Anolis sagrei: one gene and its partner. The protein of the gene in region 1 interacts with the protein of each later gene in a biochemical or structural test. Links are inferred from orthologs where the notes say so. Each region holds a gene or a part of one and is shown in the gene's direction. Other genes may lie near its edges.

Region 1 (12,891 bases):
AGTTGATGACTTTTGAGAAATATTTGAAGAGTATCTTAGTCTGGATGTATACTGCTATATTGGAGGGGCAAAGATCCAAAATACTCCTTAAATCCAAATCCGAAAAGCAGGAGCCCCCTTTCCAGTGGAGGGGGAGAGCAAGAACACCATGAAAGCTGGATCTCTAAAACTGCAAAAGCTGTTTATTGCGTGGCCAAAGCAAGACGGCAAAATACATATACAATACAATGAAAAGGTTTCGCCACACCCCCAAATGGGGCTGCAAAACTTTTATCACTTCAACAGTAAATTGAAAACACATTCACATTGGTGTTCAAAGATCAATCATTTCATTGGTCTAAGCTTACTATACAGATGCTCATTGGCTCTATATTATTTTGACAGTCATAAAGGCACGCATGGGACCATAACAAGGGGACAACTATAGTCTATTGTACTCTGGCCATGACAGTCTTAATGAATCTGTCTTCTCTGTTCTTCCATTGCAAGCATAACTCCAAAACGGCTGGGAAACTTAGAGAGTACTAACTAGGCACAAGCTAGCCAATTTGTCCTGATGTACTTTTATCCTTGAAAAGTAACGTCCTCTTGATATCGAGCTCTTTTTGGGGGGCTTTCCCAGCGAGGAAGGCCCCAGGGGACCGCCAAGGGGGTCCTTAACCTTGGTGAGCAGCCAGCGAACGCCAATCCAAAGCGCAAAATATTAAGAATTAATCCCACCAGAGGCTGAAGAGGTATCCAGTGACCGAAGCGTTTATTTCTGCGATTCAGCTGAAAAGGATGCGTTACAGGGATATTTCCACCATAAGCATGCAGTACAGTGGTTTTCAGGCATATTTATACAGGCAAAACAAAGAAAACCCCGTTTGAATCTCCCGCCCGCCTTCCGTCAGTTTCCTCTGTCCTGATTGGCCGGCTCCGGAACAGCTGGGAGGAGGCTTGGCTGCTGGTCCCGCCTTCCCTCCAATCGCCGGCCGCTGTCGCCTCCAGGGGGCCAATCAGAGCCCTCGGAGCGCCTCTGAAGATCGTCCAATCAGCGGCCAGGAGGCGGGATGTAGTTTGACAGCGCAGAGGGGCGGAATGCCTGGGAGGCGTCCGCCAGCTGATTGATAATCTTTTGTTCTTACACGGCAGGGAGGCGGACGGGGGAAACAAGGGATTTCCTGAGTTCTGATAGCAGATGTGTATAGGCATAAAGGAAGGGCTATGGGCGGCATTTGGATCTCAACCTTGTGGACAAAGGGGGTCCTTAGTCACAAAGGAGCGTACACAAATACCATGATTGATTTAATCAGTCCGTTTTCCGGGTTTCGGCTGACAAATCTTTGGCCCTGTTTGTCTGACTCTGAAAACAAAGCCTTAAGATATTGTCAGCCCTGATCCATGCAATGTCAATATGAATGGAGTTTCTTCTAAGGAAATTGGATTCCTTACTGTAGCCCCAGGTCACATACTTTTGTAGGGTAAAGTTCAAAGGGAAAGAGTAGGGAAAGAGGGTGAGGGTACATCTCATTTCATATCATAAACTTTTCACATACATTCTTCATAAACTTTCATAAGCTCATAGATTTCATAAAGGGGTCCCCATCCCATCCCCATCCCAGCAAAGTTTATTAGAAGCAACAACAATTGATAAAAGCAATCCATCAGAGTTCTTGAGGTATGATCTTCTTGGCAAGGGCACACACACAGGCGGGGGCTGCTTGCTCTTCCAGACAAGCCCAGTCCGGGGTTTGGGTCCAGAAATGTGGCAGGAAAACAGTCCAAGGCAGGAAGGCAGGAAGTCAATCAGTGAGGGCAAAAAAGGTCCGAAGAAAAGGTTCCCTGGCAGTGAGACGTGGGGCAATGTCCTTTGAAAACTACCTCTCCCAGCCGGGGCCTGGGATCGAGGGGGAGCGAGCACCGCCGTGGAGAAGCGGAAGGCCCAGCCAGACCGACAATCAGCTGTTTCTCTGCAAGATAAAATACTTGGAACAAACTAATTTTTCCCGGGGTGAAGGAGCCCAAAACGAAGAAAAGGAGGTGACAGTCTTAGAATTTATAGCAGCAGGGAAGGATACAAAAGTAGCATGCAGAAAGACAAAAAGTTGCAAGTGTCAAGTGCCTTATTAGGGGAACGTTACAATGTAGGCAGAAGGGAAAGCAAAGGGAGGCTGAGTGCAGTCTTATTATTGAGCTGCCTGCAGGACCACATTTCACCCGTTTTTCTTTCAACCAGGAACTGCGGAACTCTCCGCTGCAGTGCAGACCAACAGAAGGCAGGACCCCCTGCCACGCTCGGCCTCACTCTCTGCAGCAATTTTTCTCAAACCATAAGGACATATGGGCATTGGGAAATCCCTGAAAATTCCATTTTAAACTATGTCTCCCTCAATATAATGTAGTATGAACTGTATTATATTGTCAAAGGGAAGACTGGGGGTTCTCAAACTAAGGCCCTCAGGCCAGATGTCGCCCTCCAAGGTCATTTACCTGACCCCTGCGCTAAACTTTAGACACAGGGTTGCCCTAAGTTTTAAACGACTTGAAGCCACACAACAACAATCCTAATTAACTTGACTATCTCATCAGTCAAAAGCAGACCCACACTTCTAATTAAAATACTGGCAAGTTTATGTTGGTTAAAACTGTTCTTCATATTTTATTGTTCTTTCATTTTGTGTGTGCTACAAATAAGATATGTGCAGTGTGCATAGGAATTCATACATTTCCCCCCAAAATATAGTCCAACAGTCTGAGGGACTATGAACTGGCCCTCTGCTGAAAACATTTGAGGATCCCCTGATATAGACCCATACACTGCAGTTCAAACTGCATTATATGAGTCTACTCTACACTGACCATATAATGCAGTTCAGGTTGCATTGTACGGCAGTGTAGATCCAGCCGAAAGCAGTCTGGGCCTGATTCTGTAATGGCAAAAAATTTTGAAGTTCAGAAAAACCTCTACCTTAATTTCCTCCACAAATTTGACTCGAAATATATATTTTGGATATATTATATTTAATTGTTATCAGTCATTTGGGGGTTACCAAGTCCTCATCCAAAGCAGCATATTCTTCCAAAGATAAGACATTTGGAAATTGTACTGCTGCAGCCAGTGCATATGCAGTCAAATTGAAGTTATTTTCAGCTTCTGCATCTACAGAAGCTTTCCCCCCAGAGCCTGATCTAAACCCTGCTGCAATGTAGCTGTTAACAATTGTCCCCGAGGATACAGCCCTCCAACAGAGCTGCAACATACCAAGGGCATCAAGCAGAGTCAGTGCAAACTCCTTTCCGGTGTTTATACAGTCTATAAACCTCTTGAGAAGAAGGGTCCGATATTTGACTTTCAGACTCTTGATAATCCCTTGCTTCATCGCTGTAAATCGAGAAGCGGAGCAAGAAGGAAAGAATACAAGCTTGATACATTTTAAATCCTTTACCTCTGGAAAATCTGGGAAAGGGTCCACAAAAATAACAACGTGACGCTTCTGTATTTTAAACTTCTTATCGAGCTTGTTCAGCCATTGTTCAAACACATCTGAAGTCTTCCATGGCATAGTACTGGGATGGTATTGAACAAGAGGTGACTTTCTGCTCTGAAAACAGCGGGGAGTTTTATTTTTTCCAATGACAAGCAAAGGAAGTTTCTCTGAGGCATCCATGTTGGTACCAACCATGAGAGTTAATTCTTCCTTGCTCACTTTCCCCACTGAGCACATTTTTCCTTTAAATGCAAATGTATGACTGGGTAACATCTGATAAAACAACCTTGTCTCTTTCAGATTAAATATATCATTCGGTCGATAAACCTTTACATAGTAAGGCAGGATACTTTGATGCCAAACAGTTACAGCATCCGCTGCAGAAGCATCGGTCAGAGTCATAGCGGTAGCAATTCCTGACTGAGATCTGAATGCTAATCCATACCTTGATTTAAAGCGATCTAGCCAGCCGTTACTGCATTTGAAATCACTATATCCAAGTTTCTGTGCAAAATGGTTGGCTTTGATGCGTAGCAATGGCCCATCTACTCGTACATTTGAACACTGTGCCATTTGGTACCACTTCACCAGAGCCTCTTCCAGATCAGTGTAGCATGCCATACGCAACCTCTTTCGTTTTGGATCAAATGGCAAAGACTCAAAGGCTTCTAGAATGTTATCTTTGTTCTTCAAAATGGAATACAAGGAGTTTCGCTTTATGCCATATTTTCCTGCAATCTCTGTCTTTTTCTTTCCATTTTCTATGGCAGCTATTATGGCAATTTTGTCCTGGATTGTCAAACTTGTCTTTTTTCTTGCCGCAGGCGACGTTGTAGGAACATCTGAAAACTCCGCCATCGTAATGTTAGAGATCTTGGGGAAGCTCAGTTGCATATAGATACATTTGCTCGGTTACTTTGCTACCATCAAGGGCTTTAATTAGATTGGTTTACAAGTCACATGCTGAAGTCATGCTAAAATAAAGTAACATCACATGATTAGACTGGCAGTGCCACAAATATATTTTTGCATATCATAAATATGCAGAAACATGATCTTCTAATGTTGTTACCTAATAAAAAACAGTTCTATGAACTTATTCAAGGTAATCTCAAGCATGTGGTATACTTTTATTTCTTTTACAGTAATTTAGTAGCCTTTCTGTGCCCTCTTTATTATTTGAAAAACAATTTTTGGTTTGGCTTTTTTTATTTACACAGAATCACAGAGTTAGAAGACACCACATGGGCCATCTAGTCCAATCCCCTGCCTTGCAGAAAGAGCACAATCAAAGCACTTCTGACAGATGATGATCCAGCTTCTGTTTAAAAGCCTCCAAAGAAGGAGCTACAATTTGTGGCAGAGAGTTTTCAGAAGTCCGTTGACTGATGCTGCTATTTGCTACCCTAGATCTGTTTTAAAATGGGCCTCTGGCATGCCACCCCATGTCTGTTCCTCCCTCTAACAGTTCAATCTTGCCCTTGAGTTATAATTGCATACACATTTCACAGATGAAAACCAGGACACATGCAGCCAAGCAAAATTAGAGTTGTCAAGAGTGTAAAAGGATTTAATGAGAAAGAGCACACAAGGTAACAGGACGCTGTATCAGTTTACTTTTGCACGAATCAAATGGCAAGATTTTCACCTTTCCATCACTTCTCCCACAAATGAATTGTGTGCAAACCATTTCTGCATTTTGACTCAGTTTGTAGTAAGTACTGAAATAAACTAAGAACGAAGATAGAAAGTGAGGCCCCTTCTATATTGCCATAAAAAATCCAGATGATCTACTTTGAACCGGATTATATGAGTATAAACTCATACAACACAGTTCAAAGCAGATAGTGCAGATTACCTGCTTTGATAATCTGGATTCTATGACAGCGTAGAAGGGGCCTGTGAGGTGCAGAGGGAAACTTTGACATTTTAAAAGTAGATGAAAAGGTTGACTAGCAGATGATTAATTGGTGCTGCCCCTGCCATTGTTGACTGAGGACAATATCTCTCCTAGAATTGTGCATGGGAAGTCACCAATACACTACAATAGGATCTTTCTCCCACCAAAGCCAGTCATGTGTAGAGAAAATGGCCCCTGCCACTAACCACGTGAGTTTCAAAGCCTTTAGGTATGTACTTCATGTAGTTTACCACCACTTTTAACTTCCACAATGCAATGCTACAGAAACATGAGAGTTGCAGCTTTACAAGGCCTTTAGCCTTCTCTGCTAAAATAGTGCTGATTCCTCACATAACTCCAATTCCCATGATAGCATTGAGTCATAGCAGAGGGATATCAAACGTCATTACTCTTGCAGTTGGAAACAAATCTGGCTTTTTCCTTAATCTTGGAAAAGGGGAAGCATACACAGCCTAGTTGTATTAGCAGGGAGTCATAAAGCAAAATCAAAAAGCGAAAAAGGAAAATCTCTTTATTCTGAAGGTTTTATGAGGTACACTTTTAGGGCCCTTCCACACAGCCATGTTCCAACTCTTCATGACCTCATGGATCAGCCCATGCCAGAGCTCCCTGTCTGCTGTCACCACCCCCAGCTACTTCAGAGTCAAGCCAGTCACTTCAAGGATACCATCCATCCATCCATCTTGCCCTTGGTCGCCCCCTCTTCCTTTTTCCTTCAATTTTCCCCAGCATCATTGTCATCTCCAAGCTTTCCTGTCTTCTCATGATATAGCCAAAGTACTTCATCTTTGCCTCTCATATCCTTCCCTCCAGTGAGCAGAAGTGCTTTATTTTCTGAAGTATGGACTGGTTGGATCTTCTTGCGGTCCAAGGCACTCTCAGAATTTTCCTCCAACACCAGAATTCAAAAGCATATATTTTCCTTCGCTCAGCCTTCCTTATGGTCCAGCTCTCACATCCATAGGTTACTAAGGAGAATACCATCGCTTTAACTATCTTCATTGCCAGTGTGATGTCTCTACTCTTCACTATTTTATCAAGATTGACCATTGCTCTCCTCCCAAGAAATAAACGTCTTCTGATTTCCTGTCTTCAGTTTGCGTCTGCAGTAATCTTTGCACCTAGAAATACAAAGTCTGTCGCTGCCTCCACAATTTCTCCCTGTATTTGCCAGGTATTAATCAGTCCAGTTGCAAGAATCTTGTTTTTTTATGTTTAACTGCAACCCAGATTTTGCACTTTCTTCTTTCACTTTGGTTAGAAGGCTCCTCAGATCCTCCTCGCTTTCGGCCATCAAAGTGGTATCATCTGCATATCTATGGTTGTTAATGTTTCTTCCAGCAATTTTAACCCCAGCCTTGCATTCATCAAGTCCTGCACATCGCATGATGTGTTCTGCATACAAGTTGAATAGGTTGGGTGAGAGTATACAACCCTGCCGTACGCCTTTCCCAGTCTTGAACCAGTCTGTTGTTCCATGGTCAGTTCTTACTATTGCTACTTGGTCGTCAGACAGATTCCTCAAGAGACAGACAAGGTGACTTGGTATGCCCATCCCACCAAGAACTTGCCACAATTTATTATGCTTAGGACCCGCCTACCTGCGTGACCGCATTTCCATGTATAAACCCACACAGTCTCTTCGTTCATCTGGAGAGGACCTGCTCTCGCTCCCGTCGCCCTTGCAGGTGCGATTGGTGGGGATGAGGGAGAGGGCTTTCTCGGTGGTGGCCCCCCGACTCTGGAACTCACTTCTAAGGGACATCAGGCACGCCCCAACATTGGCAGTCTTTAAGAGGAGCCTGAAAATACGGCTGCTCCAGTGTGCCTTCCCAGAATAAGGAAACAGTTCCCAGCAAAATGTCCTCAAAAGCGCTTTAACTATCTGTTTTTTAAAACCCTCCTATTAGATATATCCTACCTGTTCATGATCAGCATAATTATTAATTTTTAAACGATTACATCTGGCCCGCCCATAGGTTTTAAATCTTTGTATAGTAATGTTTATATTATTTATTTTTTATTTATTTATTTACTGTATTTGTATACCGCCTTTCTCAGCCAATTGGCGACTCAAGGCGTTTTCCAACAAATCGGTATACATAAAAGATGATAGACAAAAAACATTGAGCAGTATATGACATCATAAAAACAATAAAAACGATATCATCAGCGTCTCATTATTCTCAGGCATTGTCCAATTCCATTGTCAGGTCATTCGATTTCCCGTATTAGCTACTCTGTATTTGTAAACGCTTGCTCGAATAGCCACGTTTTAACTTGCCTCCGAAACGTCAAGAGGGAGGGAGCAGATCTGATCTCCCTAGGGAGGGCATTCTATAGCCGAGGGGCCACCACTGAGAAGGCCCTGTCTCTCGTCCCCGCCAAATTTGATTTATTTAATTGTGTTGTTATTTTTTGTTATTGCTTTTTGTTACTGATGTGTTGTTGGGCTTGGCCTCATGTAAGCCACTCGGAGTCCCTTGGGGAGATAGAGGCGGGGTATAAATAAAGTTTTATTATTATTTATATATACTCCACACAGCCATATAACCCTGAATATCAAGGCAGAAAATCCCACAATAAGTGCTTTGAACTGGGTTATCTTGATTCCACACTGCCATATATTCCAGTTCAAAGCAGATAATGTGGGATTTTATATAGTTTTGCGGAAGGGATTGCAAGCCTTTTCTCTCCCAACCCTGTTATGATGCTACTGTTGATTTCCCTTTAATTGCCATGGAAATGTTGACTATGGGAGGGAAGAGTGAGAGACCCGGATGCTGTTTCTATGGCGACGCGCCACGTTCCAAAGAACACCGTGGCCCCTTTATGCGAGCGGCGAGGCAGTAGAGTGACAACCCGCCGCTCTATTTCCGGCCAGGCAGTTCCGGTTGGCGCTGGAGTTTGTGAGGGGAAGTGGAGGGGGGAGTGGAAAGAAGGCGGAAACGGGGCCGGAGCGACCTGGACTTCTCTGACGTCCTTCTTGTGGTGAAGCAGCAGCAGGAGGAGAAGGAGGCGGCGGGCTGAAGGTAAAGAGGGAAGATGGAGGGCGTGGCGGAGCGGGGAATAGCCGCTTCCTGAGTTAAAGAGTCCCTCCGGTGGGGCCTGGTTGAGGCCTTGCATGTCCTCCTCAGCCTCCCCCGTCATTCTCCTCCTCCCCGCCTCCAAGGGGTGGAGAGGGGAGGCCGGCTGCTGTCCTGGCTTGTCTTCAGCTGCTCTTCTCAAGATGGACAAGCGGCCTTGGCCACGTAGGAGCAGGGAGGGGCGCCCTCCATTCCCTACACTTCCCTTTGGGTGCGTCTACACTGTAGGAATCAATGCAATTTTGATGCCCCTTGGGCTGCTATGGAACTATGGGAGTTGTGGTTCGGTGTGGTAACCAGCACCCTTTGGCAGAGAAGGCTACAGGCCATGTAAAGCCACAGCTCCCATGGAAGTTAAAGTGGTGTCAAACTGCAGTCATTCTACAGTGGAGACCAGTCAGTGGCAAACTTCGGCCCTCCAGGTGTTTTGGACTTCAATTCCCACAATTCCTAACAGCCCACTGGTTTTTCCCTTGCTTGGTCTGGATGCACCCTTTGTCAGAGCACCACAGTTATTATTATTATTATTATTAAACTTTATTTGTACCCCGCTAGCATCTCCCAAAGGACTCGATGTGGCTTACAAAGGCCGAGGCCTCAACAAAACAACAACATAAAACAATACAGCTCAAAGCAAATCAAAAACATAAAGCAATATCAACAAAACATTACATCACAAACACAGTAAAACCAAGGCCGGGCCAAGTAGTGGGTACAGATTAAAAGTGCTGGGTGTGATAGGCAGCATATTGGATTTCAGGGCATGTGCAATGTGCAGAGGATCTTAAAACTCTAATAAAGTGCTTCTGAGACATAGTGCTGAAGTTTCCTATTCCTGGAAGGCACATCGGAACAGCCAGCTCTTCAAGCTCTTCCTAAAGCCTGCCAACGTGGGTGCTAATCTGATGTCTTTGGGGAGGGTGTTCCAAAGTCGGGGGGCAACCACAGAAAAGGCCCTATCCCTTGTCCCCACCAACCGCGCTTGTGACGCCGGCGGGATCATGAGCAGGGCCTCCCCGGATGAATGAAGGGAGCGCATGCGTTCATAGACAGAGATGCAGTCTACCTGCAGGTAGGCAGGTCCCAAACAATTAAGGGCTTTGTAGGTAAGCACCTGCACCTTGAATTGAGTTCGGTAGGTAAACGGCAGCCAATGGAGCTCCTTAAACAGGGTTTAACAGTGCTACTTGTCCCCAATTTTGTAACCAAAGGACATAAATATGGTGCTTGTTCCTGTCCCAGTGGAGTAAAAAAAGTAATCATTTAGGACCTTTCCAGACAGGCCCTATATCCCAGGATCTGATCTCAGTGCGGACTCCTATAATCCAGTTCAAAGCAGAAATCAGATCCTGGGATATAGGCCCTGTCTGGATGGCCCCTCAGATGACATGAGAAGCACAGCTTTACATATCTGTGTCTCCATCATCTGCAGTTTGAAGTTATCCTCAGACCCCTTCTACACTGCCATGTAATCCAGATTATCAAAGCAGATAATCCACATTTGAACTAGATTGTCTGAGATCTCTTCCACACAGCCATATATTCCAGAACATCAAGGCAGAAAACCCCACAATATCTGCTTTGAACTGGAATATATGGCAGTGTGGACTTGGATATCCCAGTTCAAATCAGATATTGTGGGGTTTTCTGCTTTGATATTATGGATTATATGGCTGTGTGGAAGGGCCCTGAGTTATGCGAGGCCCCTTCCACACAGCTGAATAAAATCCCACATTTTCAGTTTTGAACTGGAATATATGGCAGTGTGGACTCAGATAATCTGGTTTTCTGCCTTGATATTCTAGGTTATATGGCTATGTGGAAGAGCCCTGAGTCCCCACTACATGTATTCTAGTTCAAAGCAGAAAATGTGGGGTTTTATTCAGCTGTGTGGAAGGGGCCTGTGTCTATACTGCTATATAATCCAGTTCAAAGCAGATATATGACAGTGTAGAAGAAACCTCAGACTGCTTCAGCCAGATGCCAAAGTTCCACAAGAGCAAGCAAAAAGAAAGCCCTTAATACACATCAGTGCTCTGTGGTTTGTAAAATCACAATCTGGGTGTCAAACTGGTTCTGGGATTTCCTGTATGATGATCTGCACAGTGATACTGCATTATATGGTCAATGTGGATGGGACCGAAATTTTGCTTGGCAGGTTGAACAAGTGCTGCTTTTTCCTAGTATGAGGGGAGGAAGTGCCTGTCAGGCAGCTGTTAGTGAAAGTGTGCTCTTGAGTTAAAGCTCCTCTAACAAATGAGTATGTGTTCTAATGTGAAGTTCAATTAATTTATCCATAACCATACTGATGACAGGCAATGCAGGTTTTAAATTTTGTAGATTAAGGAATTTGCTACATTTGATTCCATGGCTGAGGGATCTATATTCTGAAAATGTTTGATCATTAATCAGCTTATCTGTTCTTATCTGTTTCCACCAGTTTCCTTGCATGTAGCACTTTATATAAAGGCAGAGTGTCACAGTGTTTTCTATTCAATAAATGGCTTTGAAGAAAGAACAAACTGCAGGGAAACTTGCCAGGAAGGAGAAAAAAAGTTAATTCTGGGACACACCTACTTCATAATCTTTCAAGAGGCAGGTAGGGCAATGGTGGTTGTGTGTCTTTGAGGGGGAAGAGCAGGAAGTGCTTTGCCCAGCCAAAGAATATAGCTGTTCTTATTAAAGTGCCTTCTATTATTTTCCTCCTTTTTCCTTTGACCTGCTTTGTTTCTTTAGTTTGCTTGATGCTGAGATAATTCAGTCAGAAGATGGAAAAGTTTAAGATGTATTCAGTTATCATTTCCCAGAGAGGTGCTCTTCTCCTTAGCTTTCAGCTTTTCAGGCTGCATGACAATCTGTCTTTATCTGTGTGTCATAGATACAGGTTGAACATCTCTTACCTAAAATGTTTGGGAGCAGAAGTGTATTGAAGAGGGGTTTTTTTTTTGTATTTTGGAATGCTTTCATTTGCATATATGTGCACAAGGGGATGTCTTTGGAAATGGGATCCAAGTCTTAACACAAACTCATTTTGTTCCACATATAGGTCATTTTATAGATATGGTTTTTAATAATTCTGTGTATGAAATTTTAAAAATATATATCAAACCATCTTAAAGTAGAAGGGACACTCTTGGACACCTATGTGGACAATTTTGGAGTATTGTAAAGATCTGTAATGTTTCTGATGTACATATTTAGGCCCTCTACCTCGTTGCTAGATGCAGCTTGTAGACAGTGGTGTTTGGGATTTCAACCTCAAATAGCTGTATTTATTTCATGAAAAAAGATGAAAAAGTTTGTAAATTTCTGTAGGATGGTATGCACTCTCTTCACTCAGTAGGTGAAATAGGTAACCAGAGTTGATTACATGGACTGGTTGTATATTTGATTGCACTATGTGTTGTGAGAAAAATCATTACTGAACTCATAAGAGTGGCAATCATGTTGATGCAGAATATGCTTTGGTTATTTGTCACACTTTTCAGATCACTACCTTTCACCAACTTAAATGCCCAATGGGCTATGTCTGTATGGGACTTGATTTATCTTATTTTCTGCTTTCCTATAACTAGACTTTTGATGCTAGAGAGTAGTAGGGATTTTACTATGCAATGTATTATTTATTTATTTGCCACATTTATATCCTGCCCTTCTCACCCCGAAGGAGACTTAGAGTGCTGCACATATACACTCACAGCATGCATTCTGCTAGATTCGTAGGAATGAAGCAATTCTGTGAGGTCTTTTTAAAAAACATATTATTGGAGTTTGTATAATGCTCTTATTGCAACCCATGTATATTCCAACTTTTTCCAGATCTTCATGTTGACATATGTGATTGTCAAATCATTTATCCTACAAAAGTGTTATGAAATGGGTTAAGGTATGGGAGGGGCTCATGCCTACCAGTTAATAATTAACCCACATAGCAGTCTAAAGGGATCCTTGTGCAGCAGTCTGCTTATTATTCTATAATGGATTTACATGTCAATCTTACATTTACTTGGTTATGTTGGAGCAAATGTTTTACATCTGAAAATTTATAGCAGTTCCTTTCTTACTGGAATGGGTGTTATGCATTGCTCCACATTGTTGAATTGCACTTATTGACATTTCTTACCATTGGCTACTCAGACTAGGATAGCTGGGAACAACAATCGCCTATTTCTCGCCAATTGCTTGTTCCCCATCCCTGCCGTGTTGCATATCAGCTATAAGGCATATGTTCTAGATTGGTAGAAGTGATGTGAGTGAGGAGTATTTCAGCCGAAGCATTTAAAAGATTTGAATATATTCATGTTATTCCCTTTTTTTTCTTGCTCAAAAGGCTTTCCATCTTGAGCAGTGGTTCTCAACCTGTGAGTCCTCAGGTGTTTTGGCCTACAACTCCCAGAAATGCCAGCCATTTTAC
Region 2 (12,147 bases), on another chromosome or scaffold:
TTTTGTATTAAAAATTTGCAAAATCATTTTAGCACAAATGAAAATAGTATGTTGCCCACCAAGTGAGCGATGACTTCTCTTTGAAAATTACTTTCATTTTTCTGAAAATCACCCAAGTTAAAGACTATTTGCAGGACACAAAACTATTTGTCCCTACTTATACTTCAAGACCACTTTTTGCAAGTCAAAAAAAACTCTAGCCTACAATAGCATATGGTACAATAAAGTCATTACAGCATATCCATTCTAGGAACTTAAATTGGTTTAAAGTCATGCCCTCTTCCCTAGAGACTAGAAGAAAGTAGTCTGTGGGGAAGGAATGGGATAGAAACAGGGAACCCTGCAAATATATTTAAGATCTTTCCAAACTTCAGCTCCCAGTATTCTTTGGTGGAAGTCACATGTTATGATTATGAAAGATAACCTGGAGTTACCCTGGACCATTCTCTGATCTACAAGAAGCACTGCCTGAATATCAAGCAAAAAGTGGGTGCTAGAAACAATATCATACGAAAGCTGACTGGCACAACCTGGGGATCACAACCAGACACAGTGAAGACATCTGCCCTTCTGCTTTGCTACTCTGCTGCTGAGTATGCATGCCCAGCATGGAACACATCTCACCACACTAAAATAGTGGATGTGGCTCTTAATGAAACATGGCACATTATCACAAAATGTCTATCTCCTACACCACTGGAGAAATTATACTGTTTAGTCGGTATTGCACCACCTGACATTCGCCAGGAAGTAGCAGCTAGTAATGAAAAGACCAAGGCCGTGACATCTCTTGCCCATCCTCTGTTCTATCAACCAGCACACTAATGCTTTAAATCAAGAAACAGATTTCTAAGATCTACAGAGATACTCGCAGGAACACCTCAGCAAGCGAGAGACCAAAAGTGGCAGGCTAAAACCCAGAACCGCAGTCCATGGCTGATACCAAATGAGAGATTCTCCCCTGGACACACAGAAGACTGGGTGACTTGGAAGGCACTGAACAGACTGCACTCTGGCACCATGAGATGCAGAGCCAACCTGAAGAAATGGGGCCACAAAGTGGAGTTGACATGCAAGTGCGGAGGATAGCTAACCACGGACCACCTATTACAATGCAATCTGTGCCCTGTAACATGCACAATGGAGGGCCTCCTTATAGCAATACCAGAGGCACTCTGTGACGAGCTACTAATCAAAGGACAATTAGTATAATGCCAAGTTTTAAAACTTTGTGTTTTTTTAAATACATTGCAGCTATACCCTTGGTTCACTTCTGATATGATAAATAAATAAATAATGAAAGACTAAAATGCATTGATTCCATAGATTGCATAGACAAGGCATGAAGCTGTAATCCTGCATACAATAAGCTGAAAGTAAATTCCAATAGGACTTGCTTGTGAATAGATATGCTGGAGTCTATGCTATTAGTCATTAACAGCTGCTCAGTACTCATTTATTCCTTTTCAGGATGCCAGGGATCAAATGAATCAGTTTAAAATGTTCATTAAAAATAGGATTTGCCCTATTGAATCTCTTTGCTATTCCTGCATATCCCTAATGTGTTTTTAGCAATGCTTTCCACAGATCCATTGGTACATAAGTCACCTGTACATGCCACAAGATCTGGATTGCAGACCACTGTTTGTATTTTGATCGTATGTTCATTTATAATTAAAAGGTTGGCTGACATATTTTCATTTAGAAGATTGTTCACCAAGAGGGAAAGCTGTAAGGAAGCATAGTAAAAAAAACCCAATCCATATAAAGGGACAAAAATATTCCTCATGGTGTAAACACAGCCTGGTGTATTTCAAAGCAGAGGTGCCTCTTCAACTGGCAAACTTGCAGTACTGTACCTAACGCCACATGAAAAATTAAAGGTTTTATTCACATTTCAGTAAATTACTTCCACATCACTGCACAGATTTGTTTTGAACCATCTCTGTATTCCATTGTCTCTCTAGATCAGGGGTCCTCAAACTTTTTAAACAGAGGGCCAGGTCACAGTCCCTCAAACTATTGGAGGGCCGGATTATAATTTGAAATAAGCATGAATTAATTCCTATGCACACTGAACATATCTTATTTGTAGTGCAAAAAAACACTTTAAAACAATACAATAATTAAAATGAAGAACAGTTTAAACAAATATAAACTTATTAGTATTTCAATGGGAAGTGTGGGCCTGCTTTTGGCTGATGAGATAGGATTGTTGTTGTTGTTATATGCTTTCAAGTCATTTCAGACTTAGGTAGACCCCGAGCAAGGGCTGGGTAAATGACCTTGGAGGGCCATATCTGGTCCCCGGGGCTTAGTTTGAGGACCCCTGCTCTAGATGAAGCAAACAGGAGTTATGGCTTCAGGAGTGGGAGGAAATGAATCTAACTCTCCCACTGTGAATATCACCATCAGGGTTAATTCAAACCACTATCGGCCTGACTAGTGGAGGCAATGCAAATGGCTGTTGAGTGTTTGCATTTTAGGCCAATACCATGGTCTAAACTTGTGGATTCTGTTGCTCATGTATGTCTAGATTAAGATGAGAACATAAAGCATTGGGAAATCCTATGATGAGATGAATGGGAGAGATTCCTTTAGCAGTCTGTTTCATGCCTTTCCTGTTCAATGTGCTGCCAAATGAATCTGTTTGCCAAAACCAGAAGGAAGATGTCGCTCTTTGCTCCTTTCCTTCATTACTCCCTCATACTTCATTGAAAGTATAATCCTCTCCAAGTCTGTGAATAAATGTGAACGAATGAATTCAGTGGGACCTATTTCCAGGTGCGTGGGTACAGTTTTGCAGCCCTTATCAAAAAGTCAGAGGCAGTTCAGCACCAATCAGAAAATTTGCGAGATGTAGGTGGTAATATTCAACATATTTTGGGTTGTCAAATTCCACTGTTAAATGTATCTGCAATAGGATGACTCCTGATAAAGACTACTTTGCCCACTCCATAAGTAAGAGGGATGCATGGAAAGAGCTTAGCTTTGATATTAAAGCAAGCAGAATATGATCTGGTGGCCCACTTGCCTTGTACAGTATCTGAAGTCTATGGTTTTTTTTCCTGTCACATCTATTATATTCTCCCAATCCCTCCCATTAAATAAGGCTTCCCCATACTGAATCACACTGATTGTAGACCTGCAGCTGGATCCTTTCCTCCATCAATTCATTTTCATATCTATTTCATCTCTTTCTTTTATGTCAGGCTACCACTAAAGGTTCCAATATTAAACTTTTGTTCTCCTCCTCCCCCGCCCCAATGTCAGATGGGCAAAAAACATGCAGATGGAGAAATCAGATACATTTTCCATTTGAGATAGGACACTGGGGTGGAAATGTATGGTTTGCAGAATGCTAGCAGAGGCTGTGAAAGCATTTAGGGGTTATTGCAAACACAGAAAGAAAGTCAATGAGTGGAGAAGTTCAAACAGCACAAGTTTAATAAGAGGCAGATAGACTAGACTGTCACTTCACTGAACCAAGGCAGATCTGTAAATGATTGGTCATTGTATAGTAGACAAAAACATAAGGTTGAATTAAGGAGCAAAATAGATATTATTTTTGTGGTTTTTATTTATATTAAATATAAACTAAATAGTCTGCAGCTCCACCCCTGTCAACCTCCCCCCTGCACCACCACCACCACCACCAAGTCTGGCCTCCTTCAGGAAGGCCTTCAAATTCACCCTTCGCCTTAGCCTTTGCCTGCCAGTTGGGGGTGGGCCAGCTTAGTTGCTTCCACTATATCAGCTATTGCACTGGTTGCAATGTAAATTGGTGGAAAGGTGGGTAAAGAAAAAGACAAAACAGAACACACAAAGATATGTAAAACTACCAAAACTTGCATCTGTATAATGTCCAATACCACTAAATTACAATGATCTTCAGACCTTCAGGAACTGCCCCCTACACATAATGTAGTTTTCTAACATTGGTGAATGTAAACTTTCTAATAATAATAAACTGTGCATCATATTTTGAAGGAAACTTCTCAACCCTACCCCAAGATAATATCACACACACATTATAGTACCAAGACTCTTAACTAACAATGTATCATAAGAAAGATTGGGGGGGGGACACAAATATTATTTTTGTTATCTAACATCTGTCTTACCATTTATCTTCTATTAATATTTTTAAGCACTAAACAATGTTACAGACCAGTCTTTAAATATCCCATTCTTCTATTCCACACAGTACACCAAGAGAATCCCTATTATGTCCCAGTTACCCACTTTTAGGTAAACACTTGAACCCTGGTGACTGTGGGATGGAGAACCTGGTCACGGGGATGGAATCACAATAGACCACTGCAACTCCACCTCCCAGACCTTGCCTGCTGTTGCACAGAGAATCCTGGTGGGCAGAGCTGAGAGAAATTGTCCAACCCAGTCTCATCCAGCCCGGTCTCTGTGATATAGACCAGGTCAGCATATTCATCCAGGATCAAGTCCTGGGTGACAGTTGGTTTTCCATTTACTGGCATTCAACAGCAGCATTTTCAACCTGGGGAGGGGGGGGGGGGCTCTCACCCTGATTATCCAGGCTATAAAACATAGGAGACTTTGGAGGCAATAAGCACTCTGTAGGACTCTAATGGCTGCACCATGAATCAGGGGACTCCCCTCTCCTCCTTAGAAATATACATCTTTCCTATAAGGTTAGGCTAACAGATGGCAAATAAAAAACTTTATATAAAACAGGCATGTAGATGTTATAATTCCACTGCAACTACTAGGCAGATTTATTCTCTAGTGTGGTGAAGTAGTGGGATTTCTGGGAGTTGTAGGGCAAAACACCTGGGAACCTGCAGGTTGAGAACCACTGTGCTAGGGGATAGTGGGATTTGCTGTCTTGAAAGGCCCCTTTACAGTCCTCCGCCAGAGAGCTCTTGGTCCTCATTAAAAGACAAACTCCACAAGATGTTGCCATGGCAGTTAAAGTGGAATAACAGTGCTATGATACTGTGGCATTGTTCTCGGGTGCTATTCCTTAACATCTGGAGGGCCAGAAGTTAAACTCTGCTGACTTTGGGTCTAATCCAGGCATGGGCAAACTTGGGCCCTCCAGGTGTTTTGGACTCCAACTCCCACAATTCCTAACAGCTGGAGGGCCCAAGTTTGCCCATGCCTGGTCTAATCTCATGAGCTCAAACTACAAGAAAGGAGTTTCCATTTGAACATGAGGAAGAACTTCCTGATTGTGAGAGCTGATCAGAATGTGGTGGAGGCTCCTTCTTTGGAAGCTTTAAAACAGAGGCTGGATGGCCATCTATCGGGGGTGCTTTGAATGCGATTTTCCTGCTTCTTGGCAGGGGGTTGGACTGGATAGCCCATGAGGTCTCTTCCAACTCTAGGATTCTATGAGAGATACAGCACTATGATTGCACTCCTATTGCCATGGCAACACCCACAGCACGTTGAAGCGGAATCATCGCGATTTGACAGTGCAGCGTGACAGGGCTCCGTGTTGTGAATGTGAAGGTTACTGCTTTCTCTGTGAAGTGCGGCCTCGGTGTTGCCACTCTCGCGCGCACGTCTACATTGCCATGAGCGTTTGGCCTTCGGTGCTCTTTGGCCGTCGTGGCCCCCTCCCTGCTTGGCTTCCCCTTCGTCCCCTCCTGTTCAGGAACACCGTCCCCCCCACAACAACACCACCACCACCACCACAGCAGGGCGCCTTTCAAGGACTCCCTCCCTGGAAGCCCTCCTCCCCCGCGCCTTGCAGCAGGAGCAGTGGCTGCGGACGCTACCATGGAAACGAAGGACACCGGGGGGAAATCTCGCGAGGGGGCGGCGGCGAGGTCTCGCGAGAGCGTCTCGTGTTCACGGGCCTGGAGAACGGATGCCGCTGCTGTTCCTTGCTTCCGGGTGCGGGGAGAAGGAGGAGGAGGGCCGGCGCGTGAAAGAGAGAGAGAGCGCGCGCGCGCAAGAGAGAGAGAAAGGGAGGGGGGATTCGCTGCTGCTGCTGCTGCTCTTGTTGGGAGAGTGCAGAGTCAGCTGGGCGGCAGGAGGAGGAGGAAGAGGAGGAGGAGGCAGCGCGCGCGCAGGAAGCAGGTGGGTTGCCCGGGCCCGGCTTGCCCTGCGGGGGTGGCGGCAATAGGAGGAACAGCCGCCGCTGCCGCCAGTGACCAAGGAAACCAACCGTTAGGGAGGTAGATTCCACGGCGGGAGGGAGGGAGGGAATGGCGGGGGTGAGGGAGAGGGAGAGAGGGGGGGAAAGGCAAATGGCGGTTGAAGGGCGCGCGGGCAGGGGTGAGGGAGGAGGAGGGGGAGGCCGGTCCCGAGGCCAGCGGGGGGCCAAAGGGCGGGCGTTGCGGCAGGGATGGAGGCGAGGCGGGGAGGACCTGCTGTGTGCGGCTTGTGCAGTGACCAAGTGAGTGAGGGAGGAGGCAGGCAGGGAGCCATGGCTGCTCTGCTCCTCGTCATCCTTCTGTGCGGAGGAAGAGAAAAAGCTGGGGGCGGGGAGGCGAGGCGAGGGAGCTCTCCGTCCTAGCTCCCTCCGAGCCACCGTACCTGGCCAAGGTGTGGAGGGCGGAGAGGAAGAAGGCAGCCAGGCCTAGCAGGCCTTGGGCGCCTGGCCTGGAGGTAGAGGGGCGTCCCACGCACAAGGGCCGGGACCAGCTCTTTGCCTCCTCATTGAACAGTCCCCTCTTATCATCCCCTCTCTATGGTGGTGATGATAATGATGATGTGTTGTCGAAGGCTTTCATGGCAAGAATCACTGGGTTGCGGGGAGTTTTCTGGGCTGTATGGCCATGTTCCAGAAGCATTCTCTCCTGACGTTTCCCCCACATCCATAGCAGGCATCCTTTATTTCCCAACCTGGGCACAGCATATTATTTGAGAACACAGAAATGCTGGACCACTCTAACAACTTCCATGTCAGACTACACAGAGAAAATGAAATCCACAAGCATGTGGACAATTTCAACAAAAAGGAGGAAACGATGAACATGAACAAAATCAGGCTACCAGTATTTTTTTAAAAAAAAAACCTCTTAAAACAGGACAACCTCTGTGGATGCCTGCCATAAATGTGGGTGAAACATCAGGAGGGAATGCTTCAGGAACATGGCCATACTGCCCGAAAACTCACAGCAACTCAGAAACCCATGGGTGTCTGGAATTGTGACACCTTTGTTTTCTGACTTTGTACAAAATTACCTTCAGTGGGATATAAATACACAACATTTGGAACTTCAGCATGACCAGACAGACTCAAATTGGAATACGAACAAGGAACAGCTAAGACGATGGAAACAGTTGAGGAATTGAACAGGAAGGCAAAGTTTTATAATTTTTGTTTTTATTGCTTTTATGGTTTTTAAATGTATTCTCATGTGGTTTAGTTTTTGATTTGTTTTTTGATTTTGTTTTGTTTTGTTTGCTTTTAACCAATGTATGTATTTTTATATGGCATCTAATTGGTTGTTGATTTGTACGCCGCCCTGAGTCACCTTCGGGCTGAAATGGGTGGGATAAAATGACGTAAATAAATAAATAAATCATAATAGGTTGCTGTGAGTTTTACAGGCTGTATGGCCTTGTTCCAAAAGTATTCACTACAATGGCAGGCATCCTTAGAGGTTGTGAGGTCTGTTGGAAACTAGGAAAGTGAGGTTTATCTCTGGAATAATGTCCAGGGTGGGAGAAAGAACTCTTGTCTGTTGGAGGCAAGTGTGAATGTTGCCATTGGCCACCTTGATTAGCATTGAATGGCCTTGCAGATTCAAAGCCTGGCTGACACCTTCACCATTCACCACTTGGAGCCATGGAGGAAAAGTACTCATCAAGTTCCTGGACCACCTCTACAGCATCCACACAAACATCCAATTCACCATGGAAAAAAAAGAAAATGAAGGAAAACTGCCATATCTAGATGTCCTAGTTGTCTGCAAATCCTATCAACAATTGGGCCACACAGTTTACAGACAACCTACGCACACAGATAGACACCTACATAAAAACTCCAACTATCACCCAAGTCAAAAAAGAAGCATAGTTAAAGCCCTGGCAGGCCGTGCAAAAAGAACCTGCGAACCCCACCTCCTCCAAGGTGAACTGAACCACCTAAACTGGGCTCTACAGGCCAATGGATACTCCACCTCAGACACCAGAAGACCAAGATGAGAGTAAAGACAAAAATCTACACATAGGAAAAGTGTTCTTACTATACATCAAAGAAACCACTGACCGCATAGGGAAGCTGATGAAGAAACACAATGTACAAACAATTTACAGACCCACTAAGAAAAATCCAACAAATGCTATGTTCAGCAAAGGATAAGAGGAATCCTCTCACCTCTGCAGGAGTCTACCGTATACCATGCAGCTGTGGACAAGTCTACATAGGGACCACCAAACACATAATTGCCCAAACATGAATCAAGGAACATGAAAGGCACTGCAGACTAATTCAACCTGAGAAGTCAGCCATGCACATGATGAATCAACCTGGACACAGCATATTATTTAAGAACACAGAAATGCTTGAGCACTCTTAACAATCACCATGTCAGACTACACAGGGAAGCATAAAGATAGGACACTAAAGGAAGTACTAAATGTGTTGTTGAAGGCTTTCATGGCTGGAATCACTCAGTTGTGCATTTTCTGGGCTGTATGGCCATGTTCCAGAAACAGTCTCTCCTGACATTTCACCCACATCTATGGCAAGCATCCTTTATTTACCAACCTGGGCACAGCATATTATTTGAAAACACAGAAATGCTTGAACACTCTTAACAACTTCCATGTCAGACTAGGCAGAGAAGCCATTGAAATCCACAAGCATGTGGACAAAACCATAAAAATGAACAAAATCTGGCTACCAGTATTTAAAAACTCTAAAATCAGGACAGAAAACGGGAATTCCAGAGAAGAATCAATCAAGGTTAGCTAACATCTCCCAACAAAGAATTCCCCCAGAACACCAATCAGCCAGGCTTTGAAGCTGCAAGACCATTAAATTGTAATCAAGGTGACCATTTGCAACATTCACACTTGCATCAAACAGACAAGAGTTCTTTCTCCCACCCTGGATATTCCACAGATAAATAAACCTCACTTGCCTAGTTTCCAACAGACCTTACAACCTCTGAGGATGTCTGCCATAGGTGTGGGCGAAACGTCATGAGAGAATGCTTCTGGATCATAGCCATACAGCCCAGAAAACTCATCAACCTTTTATGATTATGTTTATTTATAACCCATTTCTCTCCACAAGGAGACTCAAAGCACCTTGCATTAAAAACATTCCAATATGATTTAAATCTACAAATAGACTAACATTAAAACAGGATTAAATATCATTGGTATCTCCCCCTATGGACCAGCCCGGATGTTAAGATCTTCTGGGGAGGCCCTACTCTTGATCCCCCCCCCCCTCAGGCATGATTGGCCGAGACAAAAGACAGGGTCTTCTCAGTGGTGGCCCCTCAGCTGTGGAACTCCCTAGCGAAATCAGATCAGCACCTTGCCTCCTGTCCATTAGAAAAAAAGTTAAAACCTGGCTATGGGATCAAGTGTTTGGGGATTAGCACTGGGCAACATTCAGCTATGAAATGTATGGAATGGAATGCAATTTGGAATGGATTCTGGGTTACAATTTCAGGTCTACGTGCAATGTTTAACAATATATGTAATGCATTTATATGCCATTGTTTTTATAATATTTTGATTATTTTAATGTGTATTGCATTCTGTATTTGTATGTTTTTATGTTGAATGTAGCATTGAATATTGCCAATTTGGAAGCCGCTCTGCGTCCCCCTCAGGGTTGAGATAGAGCAGGGTAAAATGCAATAAATAAATACATAAATAAAATTTAAAAATCAGTAAAAACCACAGCAGCCCCTGACTGGGGATGTGACAATACACAACCTTTGAAGGTGTTTGGTTACATTGACTGCAGCATATAATACAGTGGCATGCTGTATTGTTTTTAGCACTGTTCGCCACTTTGAGTCCTATTTTTAAGAGAGAGAAAAGGGTTCCAGTGTTAACCAGCAACACCCAAAGGTGCACCGGGGGGGGGGGGGTATTCCGTAATGTGTCTATGCCACCTCTGAAGGTGCTTAGTTCTGTCCTAGGATGGACTGCAGTTCCCATGTAGACTAAGGAGCATAACCAGCTGAGGGGCATGACTTTTATAATATTTATTTATACCCTGTTTTATCTGCCCTGAAGGAAACTCAAAGCAGTTTAAGATAAAAGTATCCACATAAAAAATTAAAAATATACATATATACAAACATTAAAACATGATTAAATATGACCAGTATTTAGAAATTCCCAGTTAAAAATCATTAAAACACATTCAAAGTTAAAGCTATAGGAACAGTAGTGATGTCTCCCGCCACAGCTGGAAGCCACCCATTTGGGGGATGGGGAAATGACGACTACTGCTGCCATATGGGGCTTGCCTGGCACGCCTCATGTGATGGGCAGTGCCTGGCACGTGTGTGTGAGTGTGTGTTTCTCCTTTTGCCCAATCTGCCTTTCTATATTGTTACACAGGAGAAAGGATCCCTTATATGCCTGGGCTATGATGTGTAATGTCAAACTTAGCCTAGCCCCTGCACTCTCCCTGGATTTGAATCCTGTTTGCTGTATAAACATGGGTCTCATCTAGGCGCCTTCTCTTATTCATGGCACCCTGGAATTCAGGTTAACCCTGAATGAGAACAGGATAAGCAAGTTGCATGATTCCAAAGGTATTTAGAAAGAAATCATCCTTCAAGTCAGGTGCATCCTTGCGGAAACATGCTTACTTCATCTTAGATTCAAATATTTTACTTCCCATCTTTCAGAAACACATGCCCTCTCTTGCAGTAGCATACTGGGAATTGTAGTTCCCATTCTTAACCTAATGACACTAAAAGTTATACTGAATTGTACAAGTTGTCAGTTTCTTCAGTTATTCTCTGTGGCTAGCAGAAAGCCTCTGTACTTTCTAAATGTTTTGATTTCATCCTGTTCCACTAACTACCAGAAAGTTAGGGGATCATTTTTCGTTATCTTCACTGTTGATCTTTGTTCGTAATTGTATAGAGTGGGGTAACTAACATTTCCACCATAGTGTGCCCTCCTTGATCACTTTTGCATTGACAAGAGGACTTAGCGGAGGGATAAACATTTGGGAGATGAGTACCTCTGTTTTTGATCTCTGTCCTTACAGCAGGAATGGGGAAAGTGTGGATGAGAGGTCACATTTAGTCCCCAAGGCCCACTTTTATGGTCCCTGAAGCTCCCTTATAACCTTCAAAAGTTGCACAACCCTAAATGTTTTTTAAAAAACTTTATCAGACAACAGTTCAGTTGAAAACAAATTAATATAGTTCAGAACTAGCCACATGTATGATAGTTTACTATCCCCCTTCCAATATATCAAGGAAAAATGTGCCCAAGATGGAAACTTGGAGTAATGTGATAGTATTTCTGGTGAACTTAAAAAGCAAAAGGCCAACCCATGGGGGGGGGGGGGGTTTGACCTGTGCTCTTTCTATAGTTACCCACTTGTGCCTTACAGATTACAGAATGAACTGCATTGCATTGCATTGCATTGCATTGCAGGTTTAGTTGAGGTCTGATGCCATGAAGTATAAAATGAAGGAAAAGGCACTTGCGATAGATTATATGCCCATGCAATATGTTGTCAATTTTTTAATGAAGGAGGATTCGTTCTAGTATCTCACAAGAATTATTTTATTTAATTGAAACCAAATAACCACTTCCACACCACCTCTGGCTCAGTTCTATAGTCCAGCCACTCTAGTGTGGAGGAAGGGGAATCTGGGCCTCCGCTTGCATTATGCATGTTGATGAGCCGGAGGTTGCGAATAACACCTTAGTGCATGATCTCTCTGTACTCTAGTTTCCAGATCTCAAGTGAGCAAATAGTTTTACTGGAGAATCATTAGTGTTTAACTCAAAATAGCTACTGAAGAACATTGTCCCCAATGTTTGGAAGACTTGACTTTTTCGTGGAGTACAACTCCTGGTGTCCATATTAATTGGGAGATTTTGGAGAGTTTTATAAGTAATTTTTCCAGATGCTCCCCTAGTGTGGCTTGACAGCATGTTCGAGTGTCATAGCCATTACCCCCTCTTTTTGGTGTCTTCTTCAGCTTTGGG

The links.
Region 2: the proteins of ARFIP1 (region 1) and ARF3 form a complex in vitro, tested with the Homo sapiens proteins (2 studies listed by BioGRID). The link is inferred for Anolis sagrei from reciprocal best matches to the Homo sapiens genes ARFIP1 and ARF3.

What each region holds. Positions count from the first base shown.
Region 1 is NC_090025.1:51,023,642-51,036,532, forward strand, and holds the start of ARFIP1 (arfaptin-1), read left to right. Parts: upstream 1-8,262; 5' UTR 8,263-8,423; intron 8,424-10,917; 5' UTR 10,918-11,076; intron 11,077-12,891. Other genes in the region: TIGD4 (tigger transposable element-derived protein 4), read right to left, coding at 3,018-4,364. UniProt on the Homo sapiens protein: Plays a role in controlling biogenesis of secretory granules at the trans-Golgi network. Mechanistically, binds ARF-GTP at the neck of a growing secretory granule precursor and forms a protective scaffold.
Region 2 is NC_090022.1:137,917,105-137,929,251, reverse strand, and holds the start of ARF3 (ADP-ribosylation factor 3), read left to right. Parts: upstream 1-5,835; 5' UTR 5,836-6,066; intron 6,067-6,072; exon of another isoform or gene 6,073-6,164; intron 6,165-12,147.